Linked DNA regions of Schizosaccharomyces pombe. The gene in region 1 interacts genetically with each later gene. Each region holds a gene or a part of one and is shown in the gene's direction. Other genes may lie near its edges.

The links.
Region 2: of moe1 (region 1) and int6, extra expression of one rescues a mutant of the other (dosage rescue), as found in Schizosaccharomyces pombe (one study listed by BioGRID).
Region 3: mutations in moe1 (region 1) and efc25 impair growth when combined (synthetic growth defect), as found in Schizosaccharomyces pombe (2 studies listed by BioGRID, with this or other methods).
Region 4: mutations in moe1 (region 1) and scd1 are lethal when combined (synthetic lethality), as found in Schizosaccharomyces pombe (2 studies listed by BioGRID).

Annotation. Positions count from the first base shown.
Region 1 is NC_003424.3:4,549,795-4,554,247, forward strand, and holds moe1 (translation initiation factor eIF3d), read left to right. Parts: upstream 1-2,045; 5' UTR 2,046-2,056; coding exon 2,057-3,760; 3' UTR 3,761-3,947; downstream 3,948-4,453. Other genes in the region: gmh5 (alpha-1,2-galactosyltransferase), read left to right, coding at 132-1,175; Fe-sulfur cluster assembly ATPase Nbp35, read left to right, coding at 4,321-4,453. UniProt on the Schizosaccharomyces pombe protein: mRNA cap-binding component of the eukaryotic translation initiation factor 3 (eIF-3) complex, which is involved in protein synthesis of a specialized repertoire of mRNAs and, together with other initiation factors, stimulates binding of mRNA and methionyl-tRNAi to the 40S ribosome.
Region 2 is NC_003423.3:938,111-942,281, reverse strand, and holds int6 (translation initiation factor), read left to right. Parts: upstream 1-1,973; 5' UTR 1,974-2,020; coding exon 2,021-2,054; intron 2,055-2,110; coding exon 2,111-3,582; 3' UTR 3,583-3,661; downstream 3,662-4,171. Other genes in the region: U3 snoRNP protein Nop56, read left to right, coding at 1-1,457. UniProt on the Schizosaccharomyces pombe protein: Component of the eukaryotic translation initiation factor 3 (eIF-3) complex, which is involved in protein synthesis of a specialized repertoire of mRNAs and, together with other initiation factors, stimulates binding of mRNA and methionyl-tRNAi to the 40S ribosome.
Region 3 is NC_003423.3:2,737,645-2,744,042, forward strand, and holds efc25 (Ras guanine nucleotide exchange factor efc25), read left to right. Parts: upstream 1-2,027; 5' UTR 2,028-2,557; coding exon 2,558-5,521; 3' UTR 5,522-5,875; downstream 5,876-6,398. Other genes in the region: cdh1 (SSU rRNA dimethylase), read left to right, coding at 1-300; DNA polymerase delta catalytic subunit Cdc6, read left to right, coding at 6,199-6,398. UniProt on the Schizosaccharomyces pombe protein: Has a role in chromosome segregation and cell morphology upstream of the ras1-scd1 pathway. Promotes the exchange of ras1-bound GDP by GTP leading to its activation.
Region 4 is NC_003424.3:3,513,700-3,519,250, forward strand, and holds scd1 (RhoGEF Scd1), read left to right. Parts: upstream 1-1,847; 5' UTR 1,848-2,130; coding exon 2,131-2,155; exon of another isoform or gene 2,156-2,233; coding exon 2,234-4,827; 3' UTR 4,828-5,035; downstream 5,036-5,551. Other genes in the region: protein Pos1, read left to right, coding at 330-431, 488-1,195; rsm7 (mitochondrial 37S ribosomal protein uS7m), read right to left, coding at 5,195-5,440, 5,528-5,551. UniProt on the Schizosaccharomyces pombe protein: Required for mating and morphogenesis. May contain a cryptic binding site for cdc42 that is enhanced by binding Ras. Interacts directly with scd2. Promotes the exchange of cdc42-bound GDP by GTP.

The DNA of each region.
Region 1 (4,453 bases):
TGCCAAACAGCCTAGTTCTGTGTGAAACCTCAAACGGCATTGCCGTAGTCATATTATCATTCGAAAATATATAATTTAAAGGTTAATAAGAAGAATTAACGTAAACGTCGAGTCTTATATTATATTAAAAAATGTGGAACCCCAAAAAGAAGTCAGAAGCATTAGCTAAGTTTAAATCCTTTCCTTACCCTAAGCCAGGCACTTCCAATGTACTTGATTCCAAAGAAGGTGATACTAGAAGGAAGTATTTTACCAAGACGCATCTACATAGGTTATTCGTCTTTGTGGTACTGTTGCTCTGCTCAGGCTACTTTTTAAAGCATACACTCTTGACGCGTCCCAAAGAGAGTAATGTTGTTATGATATTTGTCAATAACATCGGAGGTGGCGTTTTAGATGTAAAAAGTCCCAGACAATGGGAGCTGGAGAAGATTTCAACGGAGAACAAGAAGAAATACGCTGAAAGGCACGGATATCATTTCTTTGTGAAGAGCACAGGCTTAAAGAGACGATATGCTCATGAATGGCGTGAATCTTGGGAAAAAGCAGATTATATCATGGAAGCCATGAAGAAATACCCTCATGCTGAATGGTTTTGGTGGGTCGATTTAACAACATTCATCATGGAACCTCAATATTCTCTTGAAAAGCTTATTATTAACAGACTTGACCATATTGCGACCAGGAATATTACTGATAGCATGGAGTTCAATCCAAAAAATTTCCACGAAATTCCATTTGTTGACTATAGTGAAGATATCAACTTTATTTTAGGGCAAGATTGCAACGGTTTCAGTTTGGGTTCTTTTCTGGTTCGTCGAAGTGATTGGACTAGCAGATTGATGGACTTCCTTTGGGATCCAGTAGTCTATGGGCAAAAGCACATGGATTGGCCTCACGATGAGCAAAATGCAATTGAGTACTTCTACGAGAATAATGCTTGGCTTCGAAGCGGCATGGGATTCGTTCCTCTTCGCCTTTTCAATTCATATCCTCCAGGTGCTTGTGCTGGTGAAGGTGAAAATCCTCGTTTCTTTTATAACCAAAAAGAAGGAGACTTCTTGGTAAACTTGGCAGGCTGTAATTATGGAAGGGACTGCCTAGATGAAATAAATCATTATAAGGGATTAGCGCAAAGAAAACGGGGTTGGAGGAAGTTAGTTCCGTTTCTTTAATAGAGACCTCACATATTTCCATCATTATTATTAATATTTTAAATTCATACTTTATCATTCTTTTTCCTTGCGTGTGCTAGGCTGTCAATGCGATCCTTTATCATGTGATGCACTAAACTCTCTCCTTTGCTACTTAGCAGCTTTTGCGGTCATTTAACACTGCTTAATATTTGGTGCTTTCCGTTTTTATACATTAATTTCTTCGCAAACAATTGTTTTAATAGGATTAGATGTGTATATTTTTTATGCGACATGTGATGACAGAAAAGAGAGAATGTCTGAGAACCTTGGCGTTCATTTTTTTCTTTCTTCAAAAGACAGCGTTGACGAAATTAAAATTTTCTAAAACATGCTTTTGTCAGAAACATTTAAGCCTTGAGACAATGACTATAAAGGCAAAGTCTGATGTCGTAATCAGTTTTAAATTATAGCATAACATATCTTTTATTTCAATATCAATTTCTCCCATTTTTTAATTTAATAACATTTAGTGCTGATATAACCTGCTAGTATGATAAAGTAATTCTACCTACTATAGTTTTATAATGTAGTGAGTGGTTGAGATTTCCACATATCGTCTTCTGAATAGGCATGTGGGTTCACAAATAAAGAAGTAGTTTGATAAATACAGTAACATATACTAATTGTTAATAGATGTAGTTTTTCTACAAATATAGCACCTTGATTGCAAAAGGAAATGTATAACATTTAACTTTTTCACGAACCAAAAAGTATATATATTACATTTAAGTACTTTTGTATTACAAATAAAGCTTTAGAACTTCAAATATTACCATTGTTGGCTTTGGTGTTTTAGCGTCTCCCAGTTCGTTTGCACACTATACTGGCGTCCACTTCGAAGAAAACTTCACCACTCCCAAATGGCAACTGGATTTAAATTGCCTGAGTTAGCACCCGTAAAATCAGCATGGGGACCTCCTGAAACGGAACAGATAGGAGGTGATATTCCTTATGCTCCTTTTAGTAAAGGTGACCGTCTTGGAAAAATTGCAGATTGGTCTGTTGATCAACCTAAAGATGGACGTGAACAACGTGGACGTCAAGGAGCATTTGCTGGTCGTTTCCGTGACCAATATCAAACTTATGGTTATGGCGCGTCGTCCATTTTTGGTTATCAGCATTCGGAGGACGAATCCAGTTTCTCGGTGATCGATCGTGGTTCTGTCAATCGTACACGCACTTCCGCTCGCAACGGCGGCACTTTATTGAAGGTTCGCGGTAGAGGACAAAACGTTCAACGAGGTGGTCGTGGCGGTCGCTACGGTTCTTCTGGTGGAAGAGGTGCAGGTGATACAGTGGTTTCTAGATCCTCAGGCGCTGGAGGAGCAAGAGGTCGTCGGTTTGGTTGGAAGGATTATGATAAACATCAACGTCTTCGCAACGCCAGTGTTACTGTTGGTGACGACTGGCAGCTTCTTGACGAGGTTGAGTTCAGCCATTTATCTAAGCTCAATTTAGCTGCTGCTGCTCCTGTTACTGTGGATTCATATGGTTATATTTATCCTTATGACAAATCTTTTGACAAGATTCATGTTAAATCAGAAAAACCATTACAAGCCTTGGACCGTGTTCATTACAACCCTACCACTACTGAAGACCCCGTTATCCAAAAACTCGCTCTTAATAGTGATGCTAACATTTTCATTACGGATTCCATTTTGTCTTTATTGATGTGTTCAACTCGCTCAGTGTATCCCTGGGATATTGTAATTACTCACCAAAGTGGAAAGCTATTCTTTGACAAACGTGAAGGCGGACCTTTTGATTATCTCACTGTCAATGAAAACGCATACGATTCTCCCATGGACGCTGACAACCGCGAAGGTGTTAATTCTCCTGGAGCCCTTTCTGTCGAAGCTACGTACATTAACCAAAACTTCTGCGTCCAAGCTTTACGTGAAACCGAAGAAGAGAAATATAAATTACCTCATCCCAATCCCTTCTATAATTCTAAGGAAGAAAGTGAGCCATTGGCTGCTCACGGTTATATCTATCGGGATGTTGATCTTTCTCTCGAGACAGACGAAAAGCCTGTTAAGCTAATGGTTCGTACCGAAGTTGACGGTTATGTTAAAAATCCTGCGAACGATGTTCAATACATTTCTATCAAGGCTCTTAATGAGTACGATCCCAAATTTACAAATGTTACTGGTTCTGTGGATTGGCGTTCCAAGCTCGAAAGTCAAAGAGGTGCTGTGTTTGCCACTGAAATGAAGAACAATAGTTGCAAGCTTGCCCGTTGGACTGTCGAAGCTTTATTGGCTGGTGTTGATAGCATGAAGGTTGGTTTTGTCAGTCGTTCAAATGCCCGTGACGCTCAGCACCACGGCATTTTGGGTGTTGTAGCTTATAAGCCTGCTGATTTGGCTTCCCAAATGAACTTAAGTTTGTCTAATGGTTGGGGTATTGTTCGTACTATTGCAGATGTCTGTTTGAAAATGCCTGATGGAAAATATGTCCTTGTAAAGGATCCCAACAGACCTATTTTACGCTTGTACTCTGTTCCACCCAACACTTTTGAAGAAGCTGCTGGACCCTCCCTTGAAGCTTCTTCTACTGCTTAAAAAGGACGGATGTAGAAAGTTCATTAAAAAGGTTACATGTATAATACTCAATTACATGTGCAAATCTAAGATCTTTAAATCGGTTTTATATTTTCGGTTTCTTTATTTTTTAATCTTATGAACTGTTTCTCGGTAAATTAGAAGCTAAGTGTAAAGTAATGTATTTGTTGGAATAGTAAAAATGAAGCGAAGGAAAATTAAGTGCCGTTTAATTCATTTGGAAATATCTGATTTTCGATGCTTCCAACGTGATTTTTTTCATGAACATTGCTTTTAACACACTTTAGGGTATTACGGTAAAAAAATTAGAACTCGATTAGTAGAAAACCGATATAGCTCATTGCCACTAGCCAAGAGATCGTAAAACGGTTTCAAGCTTAGTCAGAATATTGTGGTAAAACAAGAGGTAAAGCTTTTAGCAAAAATTCGTTTGAAGAGAATTTACACCGGATTACACTTATAATTTACCATACGTGGTTTACAAAAATAGCTACTAAAAGTTCACTAAGCACGTGAAATAAAGACTTTTACTAAGCATTTGCTTTAATATTGGCTTTTCTATGCAAATCCAAGAAACTGTTCCTTTAGATGCACCAGAGCATTGCCCCGGACCGTCATCTGAAAATGCAGGAACTGCATCAGCATGTGAAGGATGCCCTAATCAACAAATTTGCGCTTCAGCACCTCGTGGAG
Region 2 (4,171 bases), on another chromosome or scaffold:
ATTCCCTTTTTGATGTCGTTGGAGCTGATCAAATAGCAGCGAAGACAAAGGAAGTGCAGTTGTCTCTTCAGGATATTTCAAAATTTGGTAAAGTGGTGCAGCTTAGAAGTTTTATTCCTTTTAAAAATGCTGCCCATGCTTTGGAAAATGCCAACGACATTTCTGAAGGCGTTTTGAATGATTTTTTGAAAAACTTTTTGGAACTCAATTTGCCGAAAGCCTCAAAGAAGAAAAAGGTGTCTCTGGGAGTCCAAGACAAAAATTTAGCAACGTCTATTAAATCCGAAATTGATGCCATTGAATGTGACACTTCTGAGCTTACCCAGGATCTTCTCCGTGGTATTCGTTTTCATGGTGATAAACTTCTCAAGCAACTATCACCCGGTGATTTCGAAAGGGCTCAGCTTGGTTTAGGACATTCATACTCTCGCGCAAAAGTGAAGTTCAATGTTAACAGAAATGACAACATGATTATCCAAGCTATTGCTATCCTTGATCAACTTGACAAGGACATTAATACTTTCGCTATGCGCATGAAAGAGTGGTATTCTTGGCATTTCCCTGAGCTTTCGAAGATCGTTGGAGACAATTACAAATACGCTGTTATTGTTACACTGGTTGGTGATAAAACCACCATTAACGACGAAATGCTTCATGATCTGGCAGCCGTTGTAGACGATGACAAAGATATTGCTCAAAGTATAATCAACGCTGGTAAAGTGTCTATGGGACAAGATATCTCTGAAATTGACCTCGAGAATATTCTATCTTTTGCTGAACGTGTTATTAAACTTAGTAATTATCGTAAACAGCTACATAACTATTTGGTTCAGAAGATGAATGTTGTTGCTCCCAATCTTGCTGAATTAATTGGTGAGATGGTTGGTGCTCGTTTGATTTCTCATGCCGGAAGTCTAACTAACTTGTCAAAATGCCCGGCTTCTACGGTACAGATTCTAGGTGCTGAAAAGGCTTTGTTCCGTGCTCTGAAAACCCGTGGAAACACGCCTAAATACGGTATTATTTACCATTCTAGTTTTATTGGAAAAGCTGGCGCTAAAAACAAAGGCCGCATCTCTCGTTTCTTGGCTAACAAATGTTCTATTGCTAGCCGTATTGATAACTTTAGCGATGCCCCAACTACGGCATTTGGTCAAGTTCTTCGTCGACAAGTCGAGGAACGTCTCAACTTTTTCGATACCGGTGTCGCCCCTACTCGCAATAGTATTGCAATGGCAGAAGCTTATGAAAAGGCATTATCGAGTGTTAACATAGACGGAGACGAGGAGGTTGACATTGACGTTGAAGAGACTGTTGAAACCATTTCAGAAAAGCCGAGCAAGAAAGAAAAGAAAGACAAGAAGGAGAAGAAAAAGGAGAAGTCTAAGAAAAAGCGTTCTGCCGATGATGCATCAGAAGAAGTCAAGAAAAGTAAGAAGAAAAAGAAGAGCCATTGAGACGTTATTTTTATTAGGATATAACGGGGACCATATTGCTCTTGCATATTTAGAACAACTTGTAATTGAAAAATTTGCTATAGATTATGGGCGTAAATACTGTAATATTACTAAATCGATTGATATCGAGCTTATCATTTTGATGGATGGACGTGTAAAACTTATCTCTTAGTAAGCATTTACATTTTATTAAGTAGCATTTATGTATTATTCGTATAAGAAGTGCTATTTATATCGAAAGTTAAAAAAATATTAGAAACCAGTATTTGACAATAATTACAATTTAAGTAAAGATCAAGAATCGGATAAAAATTTGTCTTACACATTGATTTACATTAGCTGGTAGTAAGTTCGAGCTTAATTAGTTTTATGAAAAACTATTGGTTAAAAAAAGCAAAAATATCATTAAGGAATTTAATATTTTTTGTACGAACATTGCTGACCTACTATTGTCATATTGCTTTTCAGTACTGTAGTCTAAGGGGGCTACTACTAGAGTTTTGGGTGAGTTGTGCTATCCTCCCCACACCACGCACTTTTTTTTTGCGTGAAACATATCAGATATGGGATCCGAGCTTAAGAGTACAAGCCCTTTAGGTAAGCTAATTTAGATTTATTTTTAAATACAGGAGAATGTTTTCTAACCTTTATAGCGGTCAAGTATGATTTGTCGCAAAAAATTATGCAACACCTTGACCGCCATCTCATTTTTCCTCTATTGGAATTTTTATCTTTAAGACAGACTCATGATCCAAAGGAGCTTTTACAAGCTAAGTATGATTTGCTTAAAGATACCAATATGACTGATTATGTGGCCAACTTGTGGACTAATCTTCATGGGGGTCATACCGACGAGGACATGGCAAATGCTTTTGCTGAAAAGCGACGCAGTGTTTTGCAAGAGCTCTCTGAACTTGAAGAAGAGGTTCAAGGAATTTTAGGTGTCTTAGAAAATCCTGACTTGATTGCAGCTCTTCGTCAAGATAAAGGTCAAAATTTACAACACCTACAAGAACATTACAACATTACCCCTGAACGTATAGCTGTTCTTTACAAGTTTGCTCAATTTCAATATAATTGTGGAAACTACGGTGGTGCATCAGATTTACTTTATCATTTTCGTGCCTTCAGTAAAGACCCTGAATTAAACGCCTCCGCGACCTGGGGTAAATTTGCTTCTGAAATTTTGACTGTTGATTGGGATGGGGCTATGGAGGAATTGGGAAAACTTCGCGAAATGGTGGACTCCAAAAGCTTTAAAGATTCTGCTGTTCAATTGAGAAATCGAACTTGGCTCCTCCACTGGTCCTTGTTTCCTTTGTTTAATCATGCAAATGGTTGTGATACTCTTTGTGATTTGTTCTTCTATACTCCTTATCTCAACACCATCCAAACCTCTTGTCCCTGGCTATTAAGATATTTGACTGTCGCTGTTGTTACTAACCAAAATAATGCAAATCAAAAACCTCGTAACCCTAGGCAATCTTATCAAAGAAGGATGCGAGATCTCGTACGCATCATTAGCCAAGAAAACTATGAATACAGCGATCCTGTGACCTCTTTTATTTCTGCTTTGTATACTGAGGTCGACTTTGAAAAAGCTCAGCATTGCCTCAGAGAATGTGAAGAGGTTTTGAAAACCGACTTTTTTCTCGTATCTTTGTGCGATCACTTTTTGGAAGGTGCTCGCAAATTACTTGCTGAGGCATATTGCCGTATTCACAGTGTCATAAGTGTTGATGTGCTTGCTAACAAGCTGGAAATGGACAGTGCTCAATTAATACAACTTGTTGAAAACCGTAATAATCCTTCAGTTGCCGCAGCTTCTAATGTAGCTGCCGATCAAAGTACTGAAGATGAAAGTATTGAATCTACCTCTACAAATGTTGTTGCTGATGATTTAATCACGGAAGCCGAAACTGCTACTGAAGCCGAAGAGCCCGAACCCGAGGTACAATTTGGGTTTAAAGCTAAGTTGGACGGTGAATCAATAATAATTGAACACCCTACTTATTCAGCTTTCCAACAGATTATAGACCGTACAAAGTCATTAAGTTTTGAAAGTCAAAACTTGGAGCAATCTCTTGCTAAAAGCATTTCGGAGTTAAAGCATGCTACTGTTTAGACAAGATTAGCAAATAGTTTAAAGGTGGAATATATTTCATACATTAAAAATAAAACATAGGAGTTTAATTAATTCGCTAATTTTGTATTTTCAAACAACTCGTTATTGTAGAAGATGACTGTGTACTTTCCTATTTAAAGAAACGTGCTCATTGAATATCGCTATTAGTATATTAATTTTGGAAATTTGAAACATGCGGGGATATTAAAAAAATATATATTATCTAAAATTTTTTTATTTTCTGAAGTGCATAAAAAATAAATAATTAATGCAAAAGTATTAATGCCGCTATCTCAACATGTAGAAAATGTGTCGGTGGAATTAACTTATGTATATATTAAATTGCTGTAATAATACTAATCCAATTGCATTAAATTAAATTTCCCTAATTGATAGATAAATAAACGATGCTGCAACGGTATTACCGTAATTTAATCGAAAGACTCGCTACAACTAATATGTAAGTTTGGTGTTTAAATTTCATATCAAACCAGTACACCACGAAAGCTTGAGACAGCATCCGTTTCCGTGCCACCAACATTTATCAACGCAAAGATATCTCTTGAAAAGAATAGATTTTTGGTCAGTA
Region 3 (6,398 bases), on another chromosome or scaffold:
CCCCCTCCATTGGCTTTTGAGGAATGGGATGGTCTGTTACGGATTGTGTTTTTAAGGAAAAATAAAACCATTGGTGCTTGCTTTAAAACCTCTTCAATTATCGAAATGGTCGAAAATAACTATCGCACGTGGTGTTCGCAAAACGAACGCATGGTTGAGGAAGACTTTGATGTAAAATCTTTGATTGACGGAGTTTTACAACAATGCAATCTTCAAGATGCCCGAGCTTCTAAGTGTGGACAAACAGAGTTTTTGTCTCTGTTGCACGCCTTCCATCAGGTTGGCGTTCATTTTGCTTAATGGGGTCAGGATGGGGTTTTCCATTGAAACGTTAAATATTGGATCATTTATGGGTTTTTGGGATAATAACTTTATGGAATGTTAGGTAAAAACAGAAAATATAAAAAAATTAAAATAGAAATAGGGACGTTTGTAACAGCAGTAAGAGTTTATATATAATCAGTTGGTTGAAATGATGGTAACATTAAGAATACAATCAATGCTTATACTAATTTAAAAAGTAAAAAATAAAAGATAAAATAAATCTATACATAAAATAGTGGAAGAAGAGTTGTAAGAAATAAGGAAATTCGTTGGAAAACAGATATAGTTGTAATAATTGAATAACAGCAGTATTTACTATCTAAACGCAAAGTAATGTAGGAACCATATAGGTACTGAATGAGAAGGTCAGTGCCTAAAGTTGGAATAATAATAATAATATCAATTCAGAAAAAAGCTTTTATCAAATTATAAAAAAATAATAATAAATAAAATAAAAATGACTTAAGTGGTAGTGTTAGTGTTAGTTTAATCCCATTTTTCGATTTAACAAAAATAACAGATATGCCCTAGTTTCACATACATTTCTCCTAATCTAATAACCTGTCACATTAAATTTCGTTCATTTCCCGACCGTACTCTTCCCTAAAGGCCTCTTCAGGGAAAAAAGCAATTGCATTCGCAACATTAGCGTAATCCAAATAAAATCATTAAATGAAGTAAAACAAAAAAAATTCTCAAGCTATTCAAGGGAACAAATGCCCTACCATTAATACTGAATTGACGATGCACATTTGTTTATATTTATTATAATTAAGGATAAATAATAGACTTGCGGGAGCAAACATATATAAAGACGGGTAAAGAAAAAAAAAATTTAAATAAATAAAATAAAGCAAATAAAATTAAATTAAATAAAATAAAATAAAATAAGAAAATAAAATAAATAAAAATTGAAATGCCGTAAAATAAAATGGAAAATAAGTTAAGTAAACGTTTAAAAGAAAAGGTAAAATGTTCAAAATCAAATTAAATAGATAACAAAGTGAAGAAAATGTTTACAAGAATCAATGAAATTTATTTAAAAAATATTGTCAAAATTATTGCTAAATATATGATCAAATTCATTACCAAAATAACATTACCCATCGAACACCCCTAACAACTTCCCAAATTACATTCATCAAATGAATGGTATACTCCGTCGCTCTTTCTAATTCATTCGGCCATTCTAAATCCATGATCAAAAGTTTAGTGCCGTCTGCTCCAATATCGACCATTTTGAGATTCGCTTAGCAAAATGCGACACTTCTTCGGGCCCTATCCATTTTCCCGCTGATAGACATAGGAGTTTTGCAGCTTTGTCCAATTCTCTTCCAAAGGGAATTTCAAATTGTTAACCTAGTAAATGTAGTGGTGAAAGTGGTATACTGAATGTGCCTTCACAATCCATATAAATCGTCAACCTGAAGCCTGTGTTTTCCTCCATACAAAGGTTTACACTTGCTGGGAACCTAGGCGGCAAAAAGCGTGATGCCATATGTTTGGCCTTCAAGCATTCTGTTCGTCTGTGCATTTCACGTTTCAATAAAAAACATATAGCGGCCGGATGTTATTGGCATTTTCAAAAATTGACAAATTGTTATCTCGAAAAAAATTTCCCATCTCAAAAGTGACAAAGAGCTTGTTCGCTTGTACACTAATCGCAAAGTCACAAAAGTGGTAGAGCCGGTGGTAGAGTATTCACAACCACTACCTACTACAACAAGGGGGCTGTTGAAATAGTAAAAGTTGGTTGGAATTGAAAAAAAAGCAATTGAAAACACTTTTCCTTAACTTATTTCCATTTAAAAATTATATTTATACGGAGCCTAGCTTGCTCTGAGTTGGACTTCGTGTGGCATCGTAGTTCTGTTGCGTATGCTTCTTCCCTGTACTCATTAGTTTGGTGTATTTTTTTTCCCTTTTCTCTTTTTAGTTTCGTTTTTTGCTTCATTTTTTTTTTAAAATCTTTTTGTTTCTTATATACTCATAAAAAACCCTTTTTTTTTGGTGTTTTGGTGCGTGGGGTCTTTTTGGTTTTATACTGCTACTATTTAACTTGTTTTTCTTTTTAAAATTGAGGATATGCCTCGCAGAAACATTAAAATTCCCTGACTCACTCGCCGTTGTCTACCCTAAAGTGACTTTAAATTAAGCAAACATATATACTTTGTTTATATCAAAGTCTCGAGGTAAAATAAATAGATAGATAATATAGACCGTCAATGCTACAATGAGAAGACCAAATTTGGATCGTTTACGCCTCAAATCAAGGCAGGGTTTTGAGACTTCTGTTTCCAAACCCAGTACTCCTAGTTATTCTACGTATTCTCTTTCTCCCACATTTTCAGACAAGAGTGTTCTTTCTCCCTCCACTATGTCTGATTCCTACGCTCTTTCCTCTACTTACACAGCCGGTTCCTCTTATCAGAATGGCGAGTCCGATTATTTTGGTTCTTTACCCACTCCTTCCTCTGATAAATCATCGACTTCTCCCTTTCCATATTTGAAGGGCTCCTTCGATGATCGTTTCTCTTCAACCCATTCCCTTACACGACAACCTTCACCTCGTTCACCGTTAACTCCTTTAAAAGGAAATACCCGAGCTTCTCCAGAAATTCGCTATGTAAGCGATTTCACTCCTCCCTCATCTCCCTTTGAAGACATGCAAGCGTCTGTTCATTCTTTGCCCTTGTCTGGATGTTCGATTGGTCCTGTGCGTACTAACCATTCTTCATCTTTGTCAAATTCATCTAACTCATTACTACAAACCGAGTCCTCCTTGCGACCCAATTCTTCTTTCGTAAATAGTCCTTTTTTCCCCCTTCCTTCTTCTGATGATCTTTTCCTTAATGACAGAGTCATTAATCTCTTTCTTTTTTATGAAAAATTCTCTTATTTGTTCACTCATTTACTTTCTGCTATAAAATCTAGAGATGCGTTGAGCATTCCATCACTCGTTCTTTCTCTCCAAGAAGAACTCTTCAATCTCTGCCAGCAGACCGGGACTTTTTATCTTCTCCAACACAATCTCTTGCAAAACTTTGAGTTTGAAAACCCCATTAAATTACATTTTGATAAGATAATTCCCTACTTTTCGAGATTAACTGTACTGACCTTCTCGAATCGTGCTTTTATTTTTCCAGACCACACTTTTCCCCGCTTACAGCAAAGCGCTGAGGATTTTCTGTACCATTTACAATTTTTCTTTACTCTGTGTGCAAATAATAGTTTATACCTTAGTCGCTTTTGTTACTACCCTTCTTTTGTTCCCAATACTCCTTTCGGGGGCAAATGGACCAACAATGGTTTGTCTGCTGTTTCATCAGCATATCGAACACGCTTGCTTGAGCCTTGCCTACCCGAACTCGACAAGTGCGTATGGTTTTTATTGAAAAATTGTGATGAATTTATTGAAAACTTCTCTGATTTTGCCGATGAAGAGTATGTCTTTGAAATTTGTTCCACAATTACTAGCCACTCTGAACAAATCTTCAACAAACTTGAAAGTTGGGATATGTCGATATACTTTGATAAAGATTTAAGTGAGTGCGAGCAAGCTACAAACTTTGCAGTCCAATCTTACTTTGTTACAAAGCAACGTTGTTATGATTTATTAACTGATCTGGTTTGTTCATCTCAAGACTTGATGATGGAGCACTCAAACGATTTTTCTACAATGCCTACAATGATTGCTTCCATTGCTGTGGCTTTCCAAACTTTATTTGAAAATGTTTGTGATTTTCTTAAAGTACGTGCTGCTCTCGTCGATGAGATGCAGGAATTAGCAACAAAAGAGTTTGAAAACAAGTTTTCAAATGCAAACACAGCAAAAGATGACGAACCGGCTCGTCAAACTAACAAAGGTACTACTAGAATTTCTAGAAGTTCTGATTTTACCGCTGTTAGCGAGATGAGCAAGGATACCTTAACACTTGGCAGAAACTCTTTGCAATCAATTTTGATGCTGGATAATTTGTTAACCAATAAAGTTGTGCAAAGCGATAACAATGTTAAAGGTGGAACTTTACCGGCCCTCGTGCATTACCTTGTCCAGAACGTTCACTTGAACAAAGATTTTCGCCATTCGTTTCTTTTGACTTATAAAACGTTCACTACCCCCCAGGAATTGTTTACGCTTCTTGTCATTCTGTTTCACGAGTTACCGCCACCAGGATTAGATGCTACAGCATATAGTTCTTGGGAAAAGGGAGATAATTTTGTTACCAAGAAGAACGTCTGCACCGTTATGAATTTGTGGGTTCAAAAATACTTTTTTGAAGATTTAAAAGCCCGTAACACTCTTTATTTGATTTCGGAGATGCGTACCTTTTTACGTGACCATGTTGTTCCATCTTTTCATATTGGCAGTGTAATTTTATCGGAAATTGACAATCTCTGGACTGAAGAGCCTCCAGATTCGTTAACCCAACGCCTATTATCTTCTCCCATGGCTACTTTTATTTCTTTAAACGTATATGCTTATACTCCTGAAGAATTTGCTTCCCAGATGACATTATTGGAGTTTGATTATCTAAAGCAGATTCCTTCGAGGGAATGGATATTTAGAAGCTGGGTTAGTCGCGATTCTCGCAGCGCTGTCCGAAATTATATAAACTTTTCGAATTGTTTCACCTATTGGATAATCAATTGTATTTTAGAGAAAAAGAATACCAAAGCTCGTACAGCAGTAATATCCTTTTTTATACAAACTGCCTACAAGTGCTTGTCCCTCCAAAACTTTTCCACTCTAATGTCTATTGTTTCTGCCTTAAATTCTGCTCCTATTTATCGTTTACATGCAGCGTACAAACTTGTTAAAGCTGAAGACATAATATGTCTGTCTGGTTTACGTGAAATCGTGGAAACAAAGAAAAATTTCAGTACTTATCGTGCTTTACTTCGCAAGGCTGAACTTCCTTGCGTACCGTTTTTGGGTGTCATATTAAGTGACTTGACTTTTATCGATGAAGGTAACCCCGATGTTCTTGATTCATCTCCACATCTGTTAAGTTTTAATAAGCGGCATCGACTTGCCGATGTCGTCGCAGATGTGTGCCGATTCCAATCCTCCTCTTACGAAATGCAATCTAATACTGATCTTCAAAGCTATATTTTACATCGGTGTCGCTTTGTTAACCAAGATCTGTCCTATTTATTTGATAAATCACTCTCACTTGAACCTCGTTCTTCTTAAATCTTATTTTTTACCCCTCTCTTAAAATCCCGTTTTGGTTTTAGCCCGTATAGGGTTCGCTCTTTTAGTTGTCTTTCAGACACAGCTTTTAATCTATCTCTTTACGTATTTACTGTTAATGTTATCGTATTGGTTTAACTGACATGACCTTGATGTTGTATTATTCATTAGGCGTTGGTAAACAAAGTCTCAGAATAAATTATCGGAATTGTCGGTTTGTAGGCTGATGACTCTGCTCAGTTTTCTTAATTCCTATTGCTTGGAATCTAGTTCTTTTTGTTTTTGGACAATTGCGTCCTTTTTATTACTAATATCTTCCATTAATAATAAATTAGTCTTTTGTTATGCCCAAGAATACATTAAGTAGTGGTTTATGTAGCTTGATGGAGATTGGTATAAACTTGTATATTTGATTTCTTTCTCCATCGTAATTTGACAGCTAACCTATTTAATGTGGTTTTACCTTTTCAGCAGTTGACACTCATACCAAAATTTATTGGTGTACGCTTTGAACTTACCTACAAGATATTCGCCTAAGTACCTATTTGTTGTTACCTACAAAACCCTTTTAGTTGCTCGTCTTCCTACCAAAAACCAAGAGCATGTAAGCTTGGTGTCTTCCTTATTTACCATTTTCTGTTCTAATTTTCATAATAAATAAAAAATTAATTACTAGAATGACAGATAGGTCTTCAAATGAGGGCGTCGTGTTAAATAAAGAAAACTATCCATTTCCCCGAAGAAATGGTTCAATTCATGGCGAAATTACAGATGTCAAACGGCGACGTTTAAGCGAAAGAAATGGATATGGTGATAAAAAGGGCTCATCCTCAAAAGAAAAAACTTCATCTTTTGAGGATGAGCTGGCTGAATACGC
Region 4 (5,551 bases), 1.0 Mb from region 1:
TAGCTATGGTCTAAGTGATAATCAGCTTTCGTGGAAAAGTTATATTTTAATCAGAACAGTTGTCTAAGTGATCTGTGGCTGTAAAACGTTAGAAAGCCGGTTTCTCAGATAAAATACCTTAACTACAATCGAATTACTAATTACCTCAAAAAGTTTCGATTCATTTAGACTAATCTTCGTACTCATAAAATATTATTTTTACAATACATAGTTATAAACATTTGTTACTCGTTTCGCCAAGTCACAATTTCCGCTACTCATAGTAAGTACTTGGAGCTTCCATGTTTTAAGCTAGTGCCAAACGCAGTATATTTTCGACTGTAAGCGCGATGGCCTTTTCTCCAGCTAATTCCTTTTTAATTAACAAGTCGATATGTGAGAGCAAAGAAGTGGAACCTTTAGAAGCCAATTTGTTTGGCAAATTGCACAATGTATGTAAAGTTTTAAATAGAAACATTAATTCAGTGTGTTAACATGCAAAATTTAGAAATTATTAATTTGCAAAGCCAAAAAAGAAAATTTGGAAAAGAAACTGGCATATCAAATGATGTACTCGAAGCTTCTCAAATCTTTACCCAAGTTAAGCAGTCTAGAGGAGAACAAATTAACCAAACTAAAGGCTCCTATAGAGGATATGGAGAATACGAAGAAAGAGCTGGAAGAAATCAGGAAACAATCCACTGAGACAGAGTTACGTTATCTTAAGTCTCTATCGAACACTTTGAGCTTTGGTACATTATCTTTATCAAACGAGATTAACAAGGTTGGTCCTTCAGCTTCTTTTATGCTGAAGGAAGTTCATGATAGCGTACAAGTATTGGAACAACGACTTGAAAAGATGGGTCTCATCGAAAAGCCATCCGAATCTTCTGAATCCTCTATTTATTCCATCTTGGCTTCTTTAAAACATACCAACGACAGTTTACAGAAAAAAGAATTATCTCCTCATGAAATTGCCGAAAGTCCCTCTTCTCATTCGACCTCTCCAATGGGAAGAAACGTTGACACAGAAACACTGTCTTTTTTACTTATTGATTGGCAACGATTATGTGCAGAACAAAATACCTTTTTACGTGATATCACTAATAATATGAGCTCTTCTGTTCCTCAAGATGTATTATCTCAACTACGACAATTTTTCTTCCGAAGCGAGTTGTTGTCAGATAAGTTGTCAAACTTGTGCTCCGAGTCCTAGTCCTCAAATCTTTCCTATTTTCCCTTACTTATCTTTGTTCTTTCTGTCAAGCACTCACTCCTTTTACTTTAATATTTTTGTTTTCAGTCTTTTTATTAAGCCGTTACTCTCGTTATCCCTGTTTTATACTTTTAAGTCATCAGGTCCATTCGTTATCATTTTACTACTGTATTTCAATACGTTCTTAACATTAATTTTTTTAACTTTTTTGTCTCTTCTTATCAATTGAAAGGCTGAATTGGTTTATTTAGCATCGTCGTCCTTTTTAAAGACCTCACTCTTTTCTTGGACATCTACCTTTCCTACCAAATTTGTGTCTTACTAATTTTTTTTTTAATTCCCGTTCAATACATGATTTTCCTTGTTACATTACTAAAACAATCGCTCTACTTAATTTATTTACCAAATTTGCAAGCTTGCCTTTTGTAATCGTTTTAATATTGGGATGGTTGGAGATATCCCTTCATTTTTTTAGCAATGAAATTTCAGTTGCCAGCTATTTTATCGTCATAATATCTCCGTTTCAAAAGACTTAGCAGTAGGATTTTCTATCAAATGAACTGAAGAAACAAGTATATTTACCGTAATACATTTACGATACGCTATTCGATTCAACTGATCGCCAAGTGTCTCACTATTACCTTAGTACCTTGTCAACTATACATACTGTGATTTTATCAATTGCAGTAAAACAGCAACTTATTTTAGACAATTTTACTTTGGAGTCAGTTTTAATTTTTATATTTAATTCCAAAGAAACTTCAGGCTTTTTTATGTTTAAGAAATCTTGAAATTGGGTTGTTGGTTTGAATTTCCATTAATTGTTCAAGCATTGGACTACATGCGAGTACTTATACTTTTCTAGCAGTTAAAGGAAATTTTATTTTCTGTATTTTACTGCATTAGGAAGGAGTCTCGAGAAGAAGTTATCAGTTATGGCCTACTTTCAGGATCGCAAAAGTATGTAACGATTGAAAGAAATTTAGAACACAAAAACGCCATTTATGTGTATGCAATTAACTAACTAACTTCTAAAAGCATCCTCTAGGTCTCTTCCTTCTTACATCAATCACAGCACCCAAAACCTTGTAGGTCCTCGTAAAGATGAGACTAATCTGTCAGAATACATGAAACTTAGGCTTTTACAGTCTCCGTCACAAGTTATTTATAATTTAGAAAATACGGTTTCATTATACAGACGATGTCTAAATCTCCGGAAGCGATTGATGGATATATCAGAGTTGGCTGCTTTCTTTGACAGTATTCATCGTGAAGCCTTGAATAGCTCTTTCAAAATACTGGAATTTAAGGACATTGAATTTGATGATCCAGTTACGGAAATTTGGCTGTTTTGTCGTTTAGGTTATCCATTGTGTGCCCTGTTCAATTGCTTGCCAGTTAAGCAAAAATTGGAAGTTAATAGTTCGGTTTCTTTGGAAAATACGAACGTGTGTAAAGCTAGTTTATATCGTTTCATGCTCATGTGTAAAAATGAACTTGGACTCACAGACGCCGCCCTTTTTTCCATATCAGAAATTTATAAACCCTCGACAGCTCCACTTGTTAGAGCTCTTCAAACCATTGAACTTTTATTGAAAAAGTATGAAGTTTCCAATACCACAAAATCATCTTCTACTCCTAGTCCTTCTACTGATGATAATGTACCAACAGGAACTCTTAACAGCTTGATTGCATCTGGCCGTAGAGTCACTGCCGAATTATATGAAACCGAATTAAAATACATTCAAGATTTAGAATATTTGTCCAACTATATGGTCATACTTCAACAAAAACAAATTCTATCCCAGGACACTATTCTCAGTATATTTACGAATTTAAACGAGATTTTAGACTTTCAAAGACGTTTTTTGGTTGGTTTAGAGATGAATCTTTCGCTTCCTGTAGAAGAACAACGACTAGGCGCACTCTTCATTGCCTTAGAAGAGGGATTTTCTGTTTACCAAGTGTTTTGTACAAATTTTCCGAATGCTCAACAACTGATCATTGATAATCAAAATCAGTTACTGAAAGTTGCGAACCTGCTTGAGCCCTCTTATGAATTACCAGCTCTGCTGATTAAGCCTATACAGCGTATATGTAAATATCCGCTTCTCTTGAATCAATTACTAAAAGGTACTCCCTCAGGTTATCAGTACGAAGAGGAACTAAAACAAGGAATGGCTTGTGTAGTTCGTGTAGCAAACCAAGTTAATGAGACTCGTCGTATTCATGAAAACCGAAATGCCATTATTGAGCTTGAACAACGTGTGATTGATTGGAAAGGATACTCTCTTCAATACTTTGGACAACTGCTAGTTTGGGATGTTGTTAATGTATGCAAAGCCGATATAGAAAGAGAGTATCACGTTTACCTTTTTGAAAAAATTTTGTTATGTTGTAAAGAAATGTCAACTCTGAAACGGCAAGCCCGAAGTATAAGTATGAACAAGAAAACTAAACGTCTTGATAGTCTTCAACTGAAGGGAAGAATTCTGACATCCAACATCACTACTGTGGTTCCCAACCATCACATGGGCTCATATGCTATTCAAATATTTTGGCGTGGTGATCCTCAACATGAATCTTTTATTCTTAAGTTACGTAATGAAGAAAGTCATAAACTATGGATGTCCGTTCTTAATCGACTTTTATGGAAAAACGAGCACGGATCTCCAAAGGATATTCGTAGTGCTGCTTCGACCCCTGCTAACCCTGTCTACAATCGTTCTTCTTCTCAGACTTCAAAGGGTTACAACTCCTCCGACTATGATCTTTTACGTACACATTCTCTTGACGAAAATGTTAATTCTCCTACAAGCATTTCCAGTCCCTCTTCCAAATCTAGTCCGTTCACGAAAACTACTTCTAAGGATACAAAGTCTGCCACCACAACTGATGAAAGGCCATCGGATTTCATTCGTTTAAACAGCGAAGAATCAGTGGGTACCAGTAGCCTTCGTACTTCGCAAACAACATCAACTATAGTTAGTAACGATTCTTCATCGACTGCATCTATTCCTAGCCAAATCTCTCGTATCAGCCAGGTCAATTCGCTATTGAACGACTATAACTACAATCGTCAAAGTCATATAACTAGGGTGTATTCAGGTACTGATGATGGGTCTTCAGTCAGCATTTTTGAAGATACATCTTCATCAACGAAACAAAAAATTTTTGATCAACCTACTACTAATGATTGCGACGTAATGAGACCTCGTCAATATTCATATTCAGCGGGTATGAAATCAGATGGTAGTTTGCTCCCTTCTACTAAACATACTTCGTTAAGCTCGAGTTCCACGTCTACCTCCCTATCAGTTCGAAATACCACGAATGTTAAAATTCGTCTCCGTTTACATGAGGTTAGTCTCGTCCTGGTTGTTGCTCATGATATAACATTTGATGAGCTGTTAGCCAAGGTAGAACATAAAATAAAGCTTTGTGGGATTTTGAAACAAGCTGTTCCTTTTCGGGTTAGACTGAAGTATGTTGATGAGGATGGCGATTTTATAACCATCACATCCGATGAAGACGTTTTAATGGCATTTGAAACGTGCACGTTTGAACTTATGGATCCTGTCCATAATAAAGGAATGGATACTGTGTCTTTGCACGTTGTTGTTTATTTCTAAACTAGCATTGTGCTAGCTGTACATTGTCAATTTAATTTATATAGAGGAAATTAACAGTTTAGTCGATGAACTAATTTACTTTCCCTTCTTTGTTTTGAAAAAACAACAATATACTTCATAGAAGATAAATTCTGTAGCATTTCCGTTAACTGAAAAGGAGCTGTAGAAGAATGTTGATGAATATTATGAAAGTTATTTTACAACCAAACTATAACCTCATAAACATGAATATGATTAACTGCGCACTACGTAGTATAATTGAGTTGATAACTAAGAGTAATCAATTCTCGATATACTAGACAAAAATAACATTACTAAAAGGGAATGCAATTCATAAAAAAGATAAAAATGTACGGAATTTTTGTTTTTATATACGAACGGGTGCATTACCTCTGTTAACAAGGCACATTCTGTGCAGATGATCTTTCTTTTTGAAACAATTGCTTGTCTTGCTCCTGATAGCAATGATTTCTTTAACAATACGATCTGATAATCTTTTAGGACTTGATGATTTACATTCACCGAGGATCCATTGTAACGCAATCCTTCTTCGCTGTCGCTCTTTCAATGGCATAGGAAATTCGACACTTTTGTTAAATCGCTTTGCAGAAACCTATCAAAATATTAGCAAATCCGTCTACACACTATAAAAAGAAATAATTCACAAAAAATTCCAAAATTTTCAATAATTTCGACGTACCAACTTCATTAAGGGAGAAATCTC